3 linked regions of the Cricetulus griseus genome follow. The main gene of each other region encodes a partner of the protein of the gene in region 2 in a complex. Links are inferred from orthologs where the notes say so. Each region holds a gene or a part of one and is shown on either strand. Other genes may lie near its edges.

Region 1 (4,164 bases), on a different chromosome or scaffold from region 2:
GGCCTTTATGAGATAAAATTATTCTGCAGCTGAAGCTAGCCTCCAACTCACGGTCCCTCTGCCTAGCCTCTTACAGGTAGTGCGGCCACCACTGCTGCCTAAAAAGCCCCCCCCCCCTTTTTTTTTTTAAGGAGACAGGGTTTCTCTGTATGGCTTTGGAGCGTGTCCTGGAACTCGCTCTGTAGACCAGGTTGGCCTCGAACTCATAGAGATCCACCTGCCTCTGCCTCCTGAGTGCTGGGATTAAAGGCATGTGCCACCACTGCCCGATAAGTCTTAAGTCTATTTGTAAAACTGGGTTACTTACTTGGATTCAAGAGATTGCTTACAGGGTTGGGTTGTACATATGAAGGTGCCTTATGAACAATGGCATACCAATATTTAATAAAGAAATGTGATCATGCCCTTGGCGTCCTTTCTTTCCAGGCACTTGGCATGCCCCAGAAATACAAGGTCAAAACTGTACCGCTAGGCATACCCAGTTCAACGTCTGTAAAGTATTTTGAAATCCTTGCATAAAAAACGAATGCCTAAGGAAAAAGGTGCAACTTCCTGTTTATGACGCCAATGTCTCGAACCTAGGATTTGTGCTTAGTTCCCTGTCTTTGGCGTTCAGTCTAGTACTGTGTTTTGTTGACACCCGGGACGACTTTGTTGCCAATCTATTGGAAAGATTTTATTCTAGGTAGGTCACCTTTCCTTTAAATGGGCCAAGATATCAAGGATCTCTCGATTCACATGGAAAAGACTTTTGTCACAAGTTAGCAATTATTTATCACGTCCGGAACTGTCTAGCTAGACTTTCTTTGGCTCAGGTCATTAGTTCATTTAATGGTAGATTGGAAGCCAATTTTGGAGGAGTTTTGGCTGTCATTTATCCAGATTCTCTTTTCCCACAGGAGGGAACTGAAAGGTTGGCGAGATTAGGTGACTAAAGCACAGGGGTGGTGATGTGCGTGGAACCCATTCTTCTGCTTCATCTTCTACCTGTTTTCGTAAAATTTTTATGAAGATACAATAAAACCACAGACTCCAAGACCACTTGGAGCATGCTTCTGAAGTTGAACACAAAGCTAAGGACTCAAGGTGACGGGGACGATTTAGGAATTCTTTAGGACTAAATCCTAGTTAAGTGTGCTGCGTTTCCACCTGCCTCTCCCTCAACCTTCTCCAGCTACCTTGCCTAGCCCCGCCCCCTCAGGTGGCCCCACCGTTTCCTGGTAGCACAGCTTCCTTCCCCAACCCTGCTTCCAAGTGGAACCAAAGTGCGCTGACTCTGGGGACCGCCGGATCTTTCTAGTTAAGACTCTTCGCAGCGGTGACTCGGCAGCCGCGTCTAGCGTCATCAGTGACAGCCCCGACCCTTGCTACGCTTTGCGTCGCTCTGCCAGGCGCAGTCGCCTCCTCCTTGGCAAATAGTCCTCGGCAGGGTCCGAGTTTTCGGGTCGTCCGAGGTGGGAAACAGGAGAGGTTGCAGTTCAAGGGGCGCGGAGTTGACGAGGAGAGGGAGCTGAGGAGCGCCGTCTTCTCGAGAGCGCGTGAAGTGAGTTAGAAACTCCCTCCCTTCCCGGGATCCCTCCGCCTGCAGTAGCGGTGGTGAGGCCGAGGGAGCCGCCATTTTGGATGTTCGGTTCCTGCTGCCACTGCTGCCGCCGCCCCCGAAGCTGCTGGTTTCATTCGAGGTTTCGGGCCGGTGAGTGTCACTCGCGGCACTGAGAGCAGGTTGTGTCTTTGGCTCCGCCGCGGCTGCGAGCGTTTGGCTGGAAACCTCCTGTCAGTCCCAGGGGTCCGGTCTCAGCCTGTGGGGGGTGAGGAGGACCCAGGTTGGGCAGGTGGGACCGGGGAGCCCCAAGGCTTGCTCGGACTTACTGAGGGCCGACCGACCCTCAGAGGCTTCTGAGCAGGAGCTTCGGTGCGCGGGCGCTCCCTCTAGTGTGGCGTTGTCCAGCCGGTGCAGGCCTCCTTGAACCCATTGACTTTATCAGGCTGCGAGCCTCCTTTGAAAGCCGGTTCAGGGAACCTCGGATTTAGCGGGGCGGGCCCCACCCCCGCGTGTCCTCTCCGAGTCTCTTATCAGTGTTCTTGTGTCGTGGACTCGGGTCAGATGTGAGAACTCTCAGCATTTCCACATGCAGGGGTAATGCCTGTGCCTGCGATGCCGTCTGCTCAGAACTGGACATCGGCCTCGCCTCCTTCTAACCCTTCGACTAACTTCTGGTCTAAATTTTTCCGCCTCCCCCCCGCCCCTGCTTTTTAAAAACGTACCTGCGACTGCACCTTCTTCTCCAACTCTTGGTTCTGCGGACGTCCGTTTCTAGTAATTCTCCGGATCTTTCTCATTGCCTGGAACTGTGGGTTATGCTTCCCAGTTAGGGCTTGGTGTTGGAGAGCCGTCGAACCACCTAGGGTGTATTTCAGTAGTAAATGGGTTTAAAGCAGGCAGAGAGGCTTTAGGTGGGAAGGAGCTGTCAAAATACTTTCTGGATTTCCTTTCTGCCCTGAACGCTGAGCTTTCAGGCACTTACTGATACATATTTTTTTTTCTTTATTCTTTTGGCGTTGTAAGTGCTTGAGCACGGAAATCTGCCCTTGGAGAATATTAATCTGACGTAGGTAGAAAGGAAAATAACTTTTTTGGTTCCTATAGGGATTAGTTAACAGAAGAGCGAGCTGAATGATCTCTTAGTGACTTCAACCTTCAGGTGTTTGTATAGCAATGATCTTTGCTGACTTCATATGTTGACTTTTCTCAGGGTAGTTGAATTTTAAGCGTCCATTTCCACCGTTGCCTGTAGTATTTGTCAGACTTTATACCTCTTAAGTTTTGATTTGAAACCTGTGGATCCTCGAAGTACTGATAGCCTCATTACTCTAATTCTGTTTTTAATGTCTGTTTGCAATCTATCGTGCTTTAATAAAAAAAAAATTAACAATAATTCACCAGTTATTTCCTACATTTCAGGTTAGGTGAGTGTGGTTGAGTCACCCCTATTTTATCTCAGCCTAGGTTTTTACAACTGCAAAAGAGAAATAACTTATTTGAGTTCACATTTAAGTGACTTAAACCTAAGTTTTTTTATTTGTTTGTTTGTTTTTTGTTTTTTGGTTTTTCGAGACAGGGTTTCTCTGTGTATCTTTGGAGCCTATCCTGGCACTCACTCTGTAGATCAGACTGGCCTCGAACTCACAGAGATCCACCTGCCTCTGCCTCCCGAGTACTGGGATTAAAGGTGTGCGACACCAACGCCCAGCTTAAACCTAAGTTTATAACTTGAACCGAGTCATATCTCTTGGTACTTCTAAAATTTATGTTGGTGCTTTATTTATTTATTTATTTATTGATTGATTGATTGATTGGTTTTTCGAGACAGGGTTTCTCTGTAGCTTTGGAGGCTGTCCTGGCCCTCACTCTATAGACCAGGCTGGCCTCAAAATCACAGAGATCCACCTGCCTCTGCCTCCTGAGTGCTGATACTAAAGGCGTGCACCACTGGCTTGATGCTTTATTTTTAAAATCTTTTGAAGTTTTATTTTATTTATTTACGTATGAGTGCTTTGCCTGCATGTATATATGTGCATCACTTGCATTACCGTTTCGGGTGGAAGAGGGTATTTGGATTTCCTGAAAGTGGAATTTCAGGCAGTTGTGAGCTGCTCTGTGGGTGCTAGAAACTGATTCCATGTCCTCTACAAGAGCAGTACATGCTTTTAGCCTCTGAGCCATCTCTCCAGCCTCTCTTTATTTTTAAGCTTTTGAAGTGAGACTGCAGGTAAATCTTTATAGGTCATACAGTGTCAAAGAAGACACTATTTCCAGTGTAAATATTCTGTGCTCTTGTTACTTGTTTTAAGAAACTCCTTCAGAACTATATTAATTACTGTTAGATGTGAATTCTGTGTTTTGCTTTGAAGTTGTTCAGTTTTCTTTTGCTTTTAAAAGAACTCAGTGTCTTGTACTTTACTTCAGTGATGTCCTGTTTTTGAGTTCCCTTTTTTGAACAGGTATTGAAAGAGCTATCAAAAGTTATTTAACTCAGTAGTATTGTGGTATAACATACTGGGATTTAAATGTCATTCATTCTTTGATGGTTTGCAGTTTACTGGGAGAAAGTACACTTTTGCCAAACAAATATTAGTAAAGTACTGTTCTGTGTATCGTTGATC
Region 2 (3,510 bases):
GGACAGCAAGATCCTGCAGGAGTGAGTGCGGGGCTGACAGGAGCAGGCCACGTGTCCTGGACAGTGCAGCCTGGGATGCCAGCTCCCCACTTGACAGGGAGACCAGGGAAAGCTGCCACTCTGCTTTTCTGGTGGGGTGGGGTCAGTGGGTGGCCCAGGGCTCAGTCCCTTCCAGGTGCCCACAATGCTGACTACTTGACTCCCCGTTCCCACCCTACACCAGCACCTTGCCTCTGAAAGTAAATGTGTACAGCCCACTCACCATAGCCAGCCACACCATACCTAGTGAGAGGCCGCTCCCGGGAGCCTGCTGATGTGGGTACTTCCAGTGGTTGGGCCTTCCCTGCTCCATAGCCCCACCCCGGTGTCAAGGCCCAACATTGCATGTTCCCCTCTATAACTGAGTGGGTGGCCCCATAGGTACATCACTCAGGAAGGCCACAAGCTGGAAACCGGGGCCCCTCGCCCCCCGGCCACTGTCACCAATGCTGTGTCCTGGCGCTCGGAGGGCATCAAGTACCGGAAGAACGAAGTGTTCCTGGACGTCATTGAGGCGGTTAACCTCTTGGTAGGCCAACTTTTCCCTTCCTTTCCTAACTTGCCGCTTTTCCAGGGTGAAAGTCAGAGGGATAAGACTGAAAACCAGCAGAGCTGTCAGGTGTGTAATCCTAGGCCTTGGCAGCAGATGGCAGGGCTTAGTTTTGGCCATTGGAGAGACCCAGCCTCCCTCTCACTTAGAATCTGTAGGGACAACATTGTGGTGGCTTTGAGAGACTGAGGTAGGGGGACCTCGAGTTCTAAACCTTCCAGGTCACACTGTCTAAGAAAAACAAAACTAGAAGGGTCCCCAAGATGACTCAGCAGGTAAAGGGCTTCTCACAAAGCCTGACCATCTGCTTTCCATCCTGGGACCTATGGTGGGAAAAGAGAACTGACTCCTGCAAGTTGCACCTCACACATGTGCACTCACACACACAAATAATAATTACAACTTAAGAAATACAGGGCCAAGGAGATGGCTCAGTGAGCCAAGTTGCTGTTTAAGCCTAATGACCAAGCTCCATCCCCAGAGGCCTGAGAAAGGTGAAAGGAGAGAACACCACAAAGTTGTCTTCTGGCCTCCACATGGAGGTGGTGACACCCGACAAATACTTATCATATACACTCATACACAGTCAAAATAACATTTTAAGTAAAAAAATAGGTATATCAGCAGAATGCTTAGGTACAAGTGTGAGGACAAAAGTTCCGATCCCAGCACACGAGTGGAAGCTGAGTGGGGTGGTGTACACTGTAACCCCAGCACTGATGGTTAAGGACAGGGTAGCCCAGCCAAATGAGATCTCCAACTCAGTAAGAGACCCTGCCTCAAACAAAGGAGGGGGAATCATAGGGCAAGATACTTGATGTGAAACTGTGGCCTCCAGGCGCTCACACACAGGCATGTGCACACATGTAAAACCAAACTCATAAAGCATTATAAAGCTGGAAAGCCAGCTCTGTTACCAAGAGACCCCAAAAGATCACATATCCCAAGACTGCTACTTTTCTAGAATGCTGAGATCTTGGGTGGCTTGTGCTTTTGGGTTGTGTGTTCCTTGCTTGGTGTTTGGTGTTTGTGGTAGTAGGTGTGGACCCCAGGAGCTCTGTGCACAGGGTGTATTAGTTACTTGTCTGACTGTCACAAAATATCTGACAGGTGCAACTTCAGGGACAAAGGGTTCATTCTGCATCACAGCCTGTCACAGTTGGGAAGTTTGATGACAGGAGTATAGGCAGCTGTCACATGGTGTCCACAGTCAGGAATCAGATCGAAGAAGGCTGCGGTTCTGCTTGCTTCCTTCCTTTCACTCATCCAGAACTGCAGCTTGTGGGAAGGGGCCCTCACATGCTGGGTGGGCCTTCATAACTCAGTTAACCCAATCTAGAGACTCCCAGACCTGCCTCTACCCAGAGGTCTGTCTCCTGGGTGACTCTAGAGCTGTCAGGTGAACAGTCAAAAGTTACCATCACATCAGGCAAAACATTTTCATGGTGTGTGTGTATGTGCGTGCGTGCATTCAGGGGTGTATGTATGTGTATTTGTACATGTATGTATGTATGTACTTGTGTGTATCTGCATGAAGGGTGTGTATATGTGTAGTGTGTGTGTGTGTGTGTGTGTGTGTGTGTGTGTGTGTGTGTGTACCCACAGAGGCCAGTAAAGGAGTAGGGTCCACTGAAGTTGCAGTCACTGTTGTAAGCCTCCTGACATGAGTGCTGGGAACCTGGTCCCAGTGGGTTTTTTTTATTAGGTCTTGGATAGTGTATGCTCTTACAACCTGTTTCCTTTGGTTTGGTTTGTTTATTGTAGTTTGGCTTTTGTAAAAGGGTCTCACTATGTAGCCCTGGCTGGCCTGGAATTCTCAGAGATCCATTTGCTTTTGCCCCCAAAGTGCTGGGGTTAAAGCTGTGCACCTCCATACCTGGCCTTGGTTTTGTTTTGTTCTAGTACAAGGTCTTTCTATTTAGCCCTGGCTGGCATGGAACTCATGGAAATCTCTGAGCTAAATGAGATGTCTCTGCCTCTTTATTCAAAGCAAAAGAATTGAGCATGATGCTAAATACTGATGCTGACAGTCTTTTTCTCTAGTGAGCCAACTGAGCAGATGGTGAGAAGACAGAAAGGGGAACAGCCTGAGCTTGAAGCATCTGGCACTAGTACAGAGAGTCCACATTGAGTAAGACAGACAGCACTACCATACTTGAACACACAGACATCTGCCTGCCTCAGGTTCCCAGTGCTGGGACGACAGGAGTGTACCCCCACGCCTGCTGGCTCTTCCTCTATCACTGCACTTCCCTTTGTATTAGTTGCTTTTCTCCTGCTATGGTAAAACACCGTGACCAGGGCAGCTTATTAAGAGAGAGTTTACTGGGCGTATGGTTTCTAGAGGGTTAGGGTCCATAATGTCAGGGCCAGCATGGCAAGTGGCAGACATGGTGTCTGGAGCTGAGCGCTGAGCCCTCTGGCTGCAAACATGAAACAGACAGTGTGAACAGGGAATGGCATGAGGCTTTGAAACCTGAAAGCCCATCCCCACCATTCTCCAGCAAGACCACACCTTCTAAGTAAGCCCCCCTGAACAGCACCAACGGGGGACCATGTTCAAATGCCTGAGGCTGAGGACGGCATTTCTTTCAGACCACCACACCTTGTCCTTCTACTTGGAATCTGCCCACATCTTAATCAAAGTGAGTTCTGGTAGGAGCATCATTTTTTTGTTTGTTTGGTTTTGGTTTTGGTTTTGTTTTCCGAGACAGGGTTTCTCTGTGTGGCTTTGAAGCCTATCCTGGCACTCGCTCTGGAGACCAGGCTGGCCTCGAACTCACAGAGATCTGCCTGCCTCTGCCTCCTGAGTGCTGGTATTAAAGGCGTGCGCCACCAGTGCCCAGCAGGAGCATCATTTTTAAAACCTAACCTGAGACGGTGCCTAGTAGCACCCATCTGTCTTTCCAGAAACTAGAAGA
Region 3 (4,159 bases), on a different chromosome or scaffold from region 2:
TCGGCTCCTTGGAGCTCTCCCCGACTTCAGAGAGACAGAGTTATTTCTCAGTCGTTTTAACCCAGTGTGAACTCCAGAGCAATTCATGTACACTGAAAACAATAAATGGATGGAGTGTCACCTTTTATAGACAACTTTGAGGTCCCTCCACTCCAGGAAGCTGCACATCTTGGGCTTTCGAGCCAGCACAACCTGCATGAGCTCCCGGACCATTTTCTTCCTCTCCTTGTCCGAGGTGGCCAGGTACCATTTTTGCAGCCGAAGTTTCCCCTGCCGGCTGAACAGTAGCATGAATCGCATCTGGAAGGGAGGAAGGACCAGAGCTGAGGGGCAGAGAATGGGTTTGGAGCCTCTTTCCTTGCATGAGCGCAAAGCCCCAGACTCAGCGGTATTCACCACTACCTTCTTCAAAACTTCTGTCCCAGCTGGGTAGAGAAGAAGAATGTTCTTCCTGAGGGAAAGTCAAGCCTGCTGTGTGGGTTCCAATCCTGGCCCTAGTAGCTGAATACAACCTCAGGCAAATTAATTTATACTGGGCCAGCAAGATAGCTAAATTGGTGCTTGCTATTAAGCCTGAGTTCAATACCCATGACCCAAATTACAGAAGAGAACTGACTCCCACGAGCTGTCCTTTAACCTCTACACTCTTGCCATGGCAAGCACACATCCACACAAATAATAAGCACAAAAACATTTTATTACGTGTGTGTGTGTGTGTGTGTGTGTGTGTGTGTGTGTGTGTGTGTGTGTAGTTCAGAGGATAGCTTTTGGGAACTGGATCTCTGCTTCTACAATGTGAGCTCCAGGAATCAAATTTAGATACCCAAGCCTTGGCAGCAAGTGCCTTTGTCTGCTGATCTATCTTACTGGCTTTGTAAAAAAAAAAAAAAAAAAGTCTTTGAACCTCAGTTTCTTTACTCGAAAGACAGAAACCATAAAATTACCTTCCTTATAGAATTCTTTTAAGATTTGCTTTTCTTATTTTTTAAAGATTTATTTTACTTTATGTGTATGAAATACTCAATACTCACATGCATACATGTATGTGTCACACACATGCCTGTTGATACCCCAGAACCAGGGTTATAGATGGTTATAAGTCACCATGTGGGTGACAGGAACCAAACCCAGGTCCTCAGCAAGAGCAACACATGCTCTTAAGCACTGAGCCCTCTCTCTAGCCCACTACTATTTTTAGTTATGTGTAAGTTTATGTTGTGTGTCTATATACTGGGTATGTGCAGATGAGTGCAGGTGCCCATGCAGGCCAGAGGCATCAGATCAGGAGCTACAGAAGGTTGTGAGCTGCCTGATATACGTGTTGGGAACTGAACTGGTTCTTCTGGAAGAGCAGCAAGTACTCTCAATGACTTAGGCATCTTTCCTGCATTAAGGAATTCTTTTTTTTTCTTTGCTTTTTTTTTGGTTTTTCGAGACAGAGTTTCTCTGTGTAGCTTTGGAGCCTATCCTGGCACTCGCTCTGGAGACCAGGCTGGCCTCGAACTCACAGAGATCCGCCTGCCTCTGCCTCCATAGTGCTAGGATTAAAGGTGTGTGCCACCAACGCCCAGCTATTTAAAATTTTTAAGGACAGTTCTCTCCTTCCACTGTGAGGACTCCAGGGATTGAATTCAGGTTGTCAAGTACCTTTAGAAGCTGAGCCATCTCTCTGGCCCTCTTCTCTTTCTTTCTTTCTTTTTTTTTTTTTTTTGAGACAGGGCTTCATGTAGCTCAGGCTGACCTATATTTCATATGTAGCCAAGGCTGCCCTTGATTTTCTGATCCTCCTGAGTGCCTGGGTTACGGGTCCCAGACACCAGATCACGAAGTCCCTCACAGAGAGTCCAGTGACCCCGATGGCTCTCCTAGGGAATGTCTGTGGAATGAGAGTCCTCATTGCTTCCTGGATCTAGTTTCTTCCCAGTTGCAGGGGGCTCTTGCTTCCAAAACCTGAACTCAATTCCCAGCAAACAGATCTGTGAACACGGCCAGGGCTGGAATCTCTGGGTGTGTGCGGCAATTCAGCTTCCAGGCCATCAATTAAAAGGAACAAAGACCCCCAGAAAGCAGGGGCGGTGGCTGGTGGGGGCCAGGGGATGTGAAGAACTGAGGGAGCCGAGTGCGGGCAGGAAGACGGAAGGCCTGGGCTGGGGAAGGAAACTGGACCGCGGTGGTGGGAAGGTGGGAACGGCAGAGTCGGCGCGTCCTCCAGAGCCCAGGCTCCCCGACTACGGAGTCGGGGGTCAGCTGTGGAGACCCGGAAACCGCCCCTGCCTCCCTCCCGCCTCCCTCCTGCCGCACCGTGCGCTCAGGCGCGGGCCTCCCGGAGGGGGCTCGGCCACCGCGACCCCCGGGGATCCCGGGGCCCCTCTCCGCGGGTGGCTCCCCCGCCACGGCGCCCGGGGCGTCTCCAGGACAGGACCCCGTGTCCCGAACGCTGACCCTGCTCGGGACAGTCCCGCCACCCTGCAGCCCAACCAACGAGACTCCTCCCCGCCCCTGTCCCGAGTGCCATTTCCAGCTCCCGAGGTCGGCTCGCCCAGCCGCTCCGGGAAGTGGATCCTCAGCGGACCACAGGGAAGACAGGGCGACTCCCACCAAACGCTGCCCCCTCCGGACCCCCGCAGGTACAGCCCACGCCCCTCGGGTCCCCCGTCCCCTCCCTCTCAGCACTGCCTACCATCCTGCAGCCTCCGGCCCGGCACGTCCCTCTCCGGCCACCGTAGGAGCCCGCTCCGCGGCCCGTCGGATTCTTTTCTTTTCCCTCCCTCTCCGCCTGAAGCCCCGCCCCCCGGCCTCGCCGGCTCCCCCGCGCGGCCGCATTGCGCAGGCGCCAGCGCTGCCGCGCTCTCCCCCTCCCGGTCCCACCCAGAGGCGGGAGGGGCTGAAGGCGGAGAAGCGGAAACCATGGCAACCAGGTCCTTGACTTCAGCTTTGCAGAAGCTCGGTTGTCATGGTAACAAGGCTGTCCTGGTGGGCTGATTGGAGGATGGGAAGGGCGGAGGTAGGGGACAACGAGGGCCTTGAGCTCTGGAGCATTTGTAGGGGGGGAAAGGCGGGAAAAGGGTGAGAGGTGGATGCTCGATCTTTAGAGTTTATGAAGAAGCAAGGATGATTCCGGGAGCTGAACACGGTGTGCAGAAAAGGAGGAAAACATCACTCAAAGCGGGGTGGTGCGGGAACAGAGTTCAAGATCAGCTCAGGGCTACACAACAATATTCTGTCCCCAAACAAGCAAGGCAGGCGCGGTGGTGTACACCTGTGATTCCAACGCTTTGAAGGCAGACAGACAGGAGCAAATTGTAGCTCAAGTTCAGCCTCAGCTAAGTGGCGTGCTCGAGAGAGCCTATCTTAAGCAAAGTGACACAAAACAGTGCCGGTGTGATGGCTCCAATCATAGAGATGCCCCCCCCCCCATAGAAGGTGAAAGGGAATGACTGACCCTGCAAGCTGTCCTGACATCCACACAGTCAAGTACCCTGGTTTGTACATGCTCCCACGCAACACAAAATACATATATGAAATGTAACCTTAAAAATTTTAAATACCCGGGCGTTGGTGGCACATGCCTTTAATCCCAGCACTCGGGAAGCAGAGGCATCAAGGCCAGCCTGGTCTCCAGAGCGAGTTCCAGGACATCCATGGATACACAGAGAAACCCTGTTTCGAGAAACAAAACAAAACCAAAAAAGTAAAACAGTATAGAGCTTTAGTGTTGAGAACTTATTAGATGCAAGTGTCTTTTTTTGTTTATATATAATACATATATATATAGTGTGTGTGTGTGTGTGTGTGTGTGTGTGTAACTGGATGTGAGGGTATACACCTGTAATACTGTAGTTTGGAAAGCAGATGTAGACAGATCAGAATCAGAGTTCAAAGTTATCCTTGGCTACATAACAAGTTCACATTCTGGGCTGAGGCACTGTGTCAAAACAAAAAACAAAACCCCAAACAACAAAACAGCCAAACAAACAATAAAATCACACACACACAAACAAATAAACCAGATTAGCCCGGCATACTTTTGTGTGCCTATAATTTGATCCCTGGGGAACCAGAGGCAAGAGGATTAGTCAAGAGAGTTCACAGCCAGCCTGAGTTATGTAAAGAGAGAGGGTGTCTTAATAAATAAATAAATAAATAAATAAATAAATAA

What was found. The genes of interacting proteins can lie anywhere in the genome.
Region 1: the proteins of Ap1m1 (region 2) and Ap1g1 are in contact, whole or in part, in a cryo-EM structure (PDB 7R4H), measured with the Mus musculus proteins. The link is inferred for Cricetulus griseus from reciprocal best matches to the Homo sapiens genes AP1M1 and AP1G1. Residues at the interface, in NP_031482.1 of Mus musculus: Ser289, Asn318, Asp319, Ala320, Asp321, Ser322, Trp334, Pro336, Glu337, Asn338, Ser339, Gly361, Leu362, Pro363, Ser364, Val365, Glu366, Ala367, Glu368; in NP_001288140.1 of Mus musculus: Arg24, Glu25, Gln28, Lys29, Ala32, Arg35, Ser36, Arg39, Glu40, His64, Phe65, Gln67, Leu68, Gln97, Val99.
Region 3: the proteins of Ap1m1 (region 2) and Ap1s1 are in contact, whole or in part, in a crystal structure (PDB 1W63), measured with the Mus musculus proteins. The link is inferred for Cricetulus griseus from reciprocal best matches to the Homo sapiens genes AP1M1 and AP1S1. Residues at the interface, in NP_031482.1 of Mus musculus: Lys12, Glu31, Asn186, Asn188, Val189, Leu190, Glu232, Glu234, Asn270, His272, Arg421; in NP_031483.1 of Mus musculus: Lys26, Lys30, Arg33, Glu34, Gln37, Lys43, Glu51, Trp52, Arg53, Asp54.

What each region holds. Positions count from the first base shown.
Region 1 is NC_048596.1:186,137,779-186,141,942, forward strand, and holds the start of Ap1g1 (AP-1 complex subunit gamma-1), read left to right. Parts: upstream 1-1,356; 5' UTR 1,357-1,543; intron 1,544-1,549; exon of another isoform or gene 1,550-1,693; intron 1,694-4,164. UniProt on the Homo sapiens protein: Subunit of clathrin-associated adaptor protein complex 1 that plays a role in protein sorting in the late-Golgi/trans-Golgi network (TGN) and/or endosomes.
Region 2 is NW_023276806.1:247,005,759-247,009,268, forward strand, and holds part of Ap1m1 (AP-1 complex subunit mu-1), read left to right. Parts: coding exon 1-21; intron 22-420; coding exon 421-568; intron 569-3,510. UniProt on the Homo sapiens protein: Subunit of clathrin-associated adaptor protein complex 1 that plays a role in protein sorting in the trans-Golgi network (TGN) and endosomes.
Region 3 is NC_048597.1:115,987,418-115,991,576, forward strand, and holds the start of Ap1s1 (AP-1 complex subunit sigma-1A), read right to left. Parts: upstream 2,809-4,159; 5' UTR 2,684-2,808; coding exon 2,681-2,683; intron 301-2,680; coding exon 122-300; intron 1-121. UniProt on the Homo sapiens protein: Subunit of clathrin-associated adaptor protein complex 1 that plays a role in protein sorting in the late-Golgi/trans-Golgi network (TGN) and/or endosomes.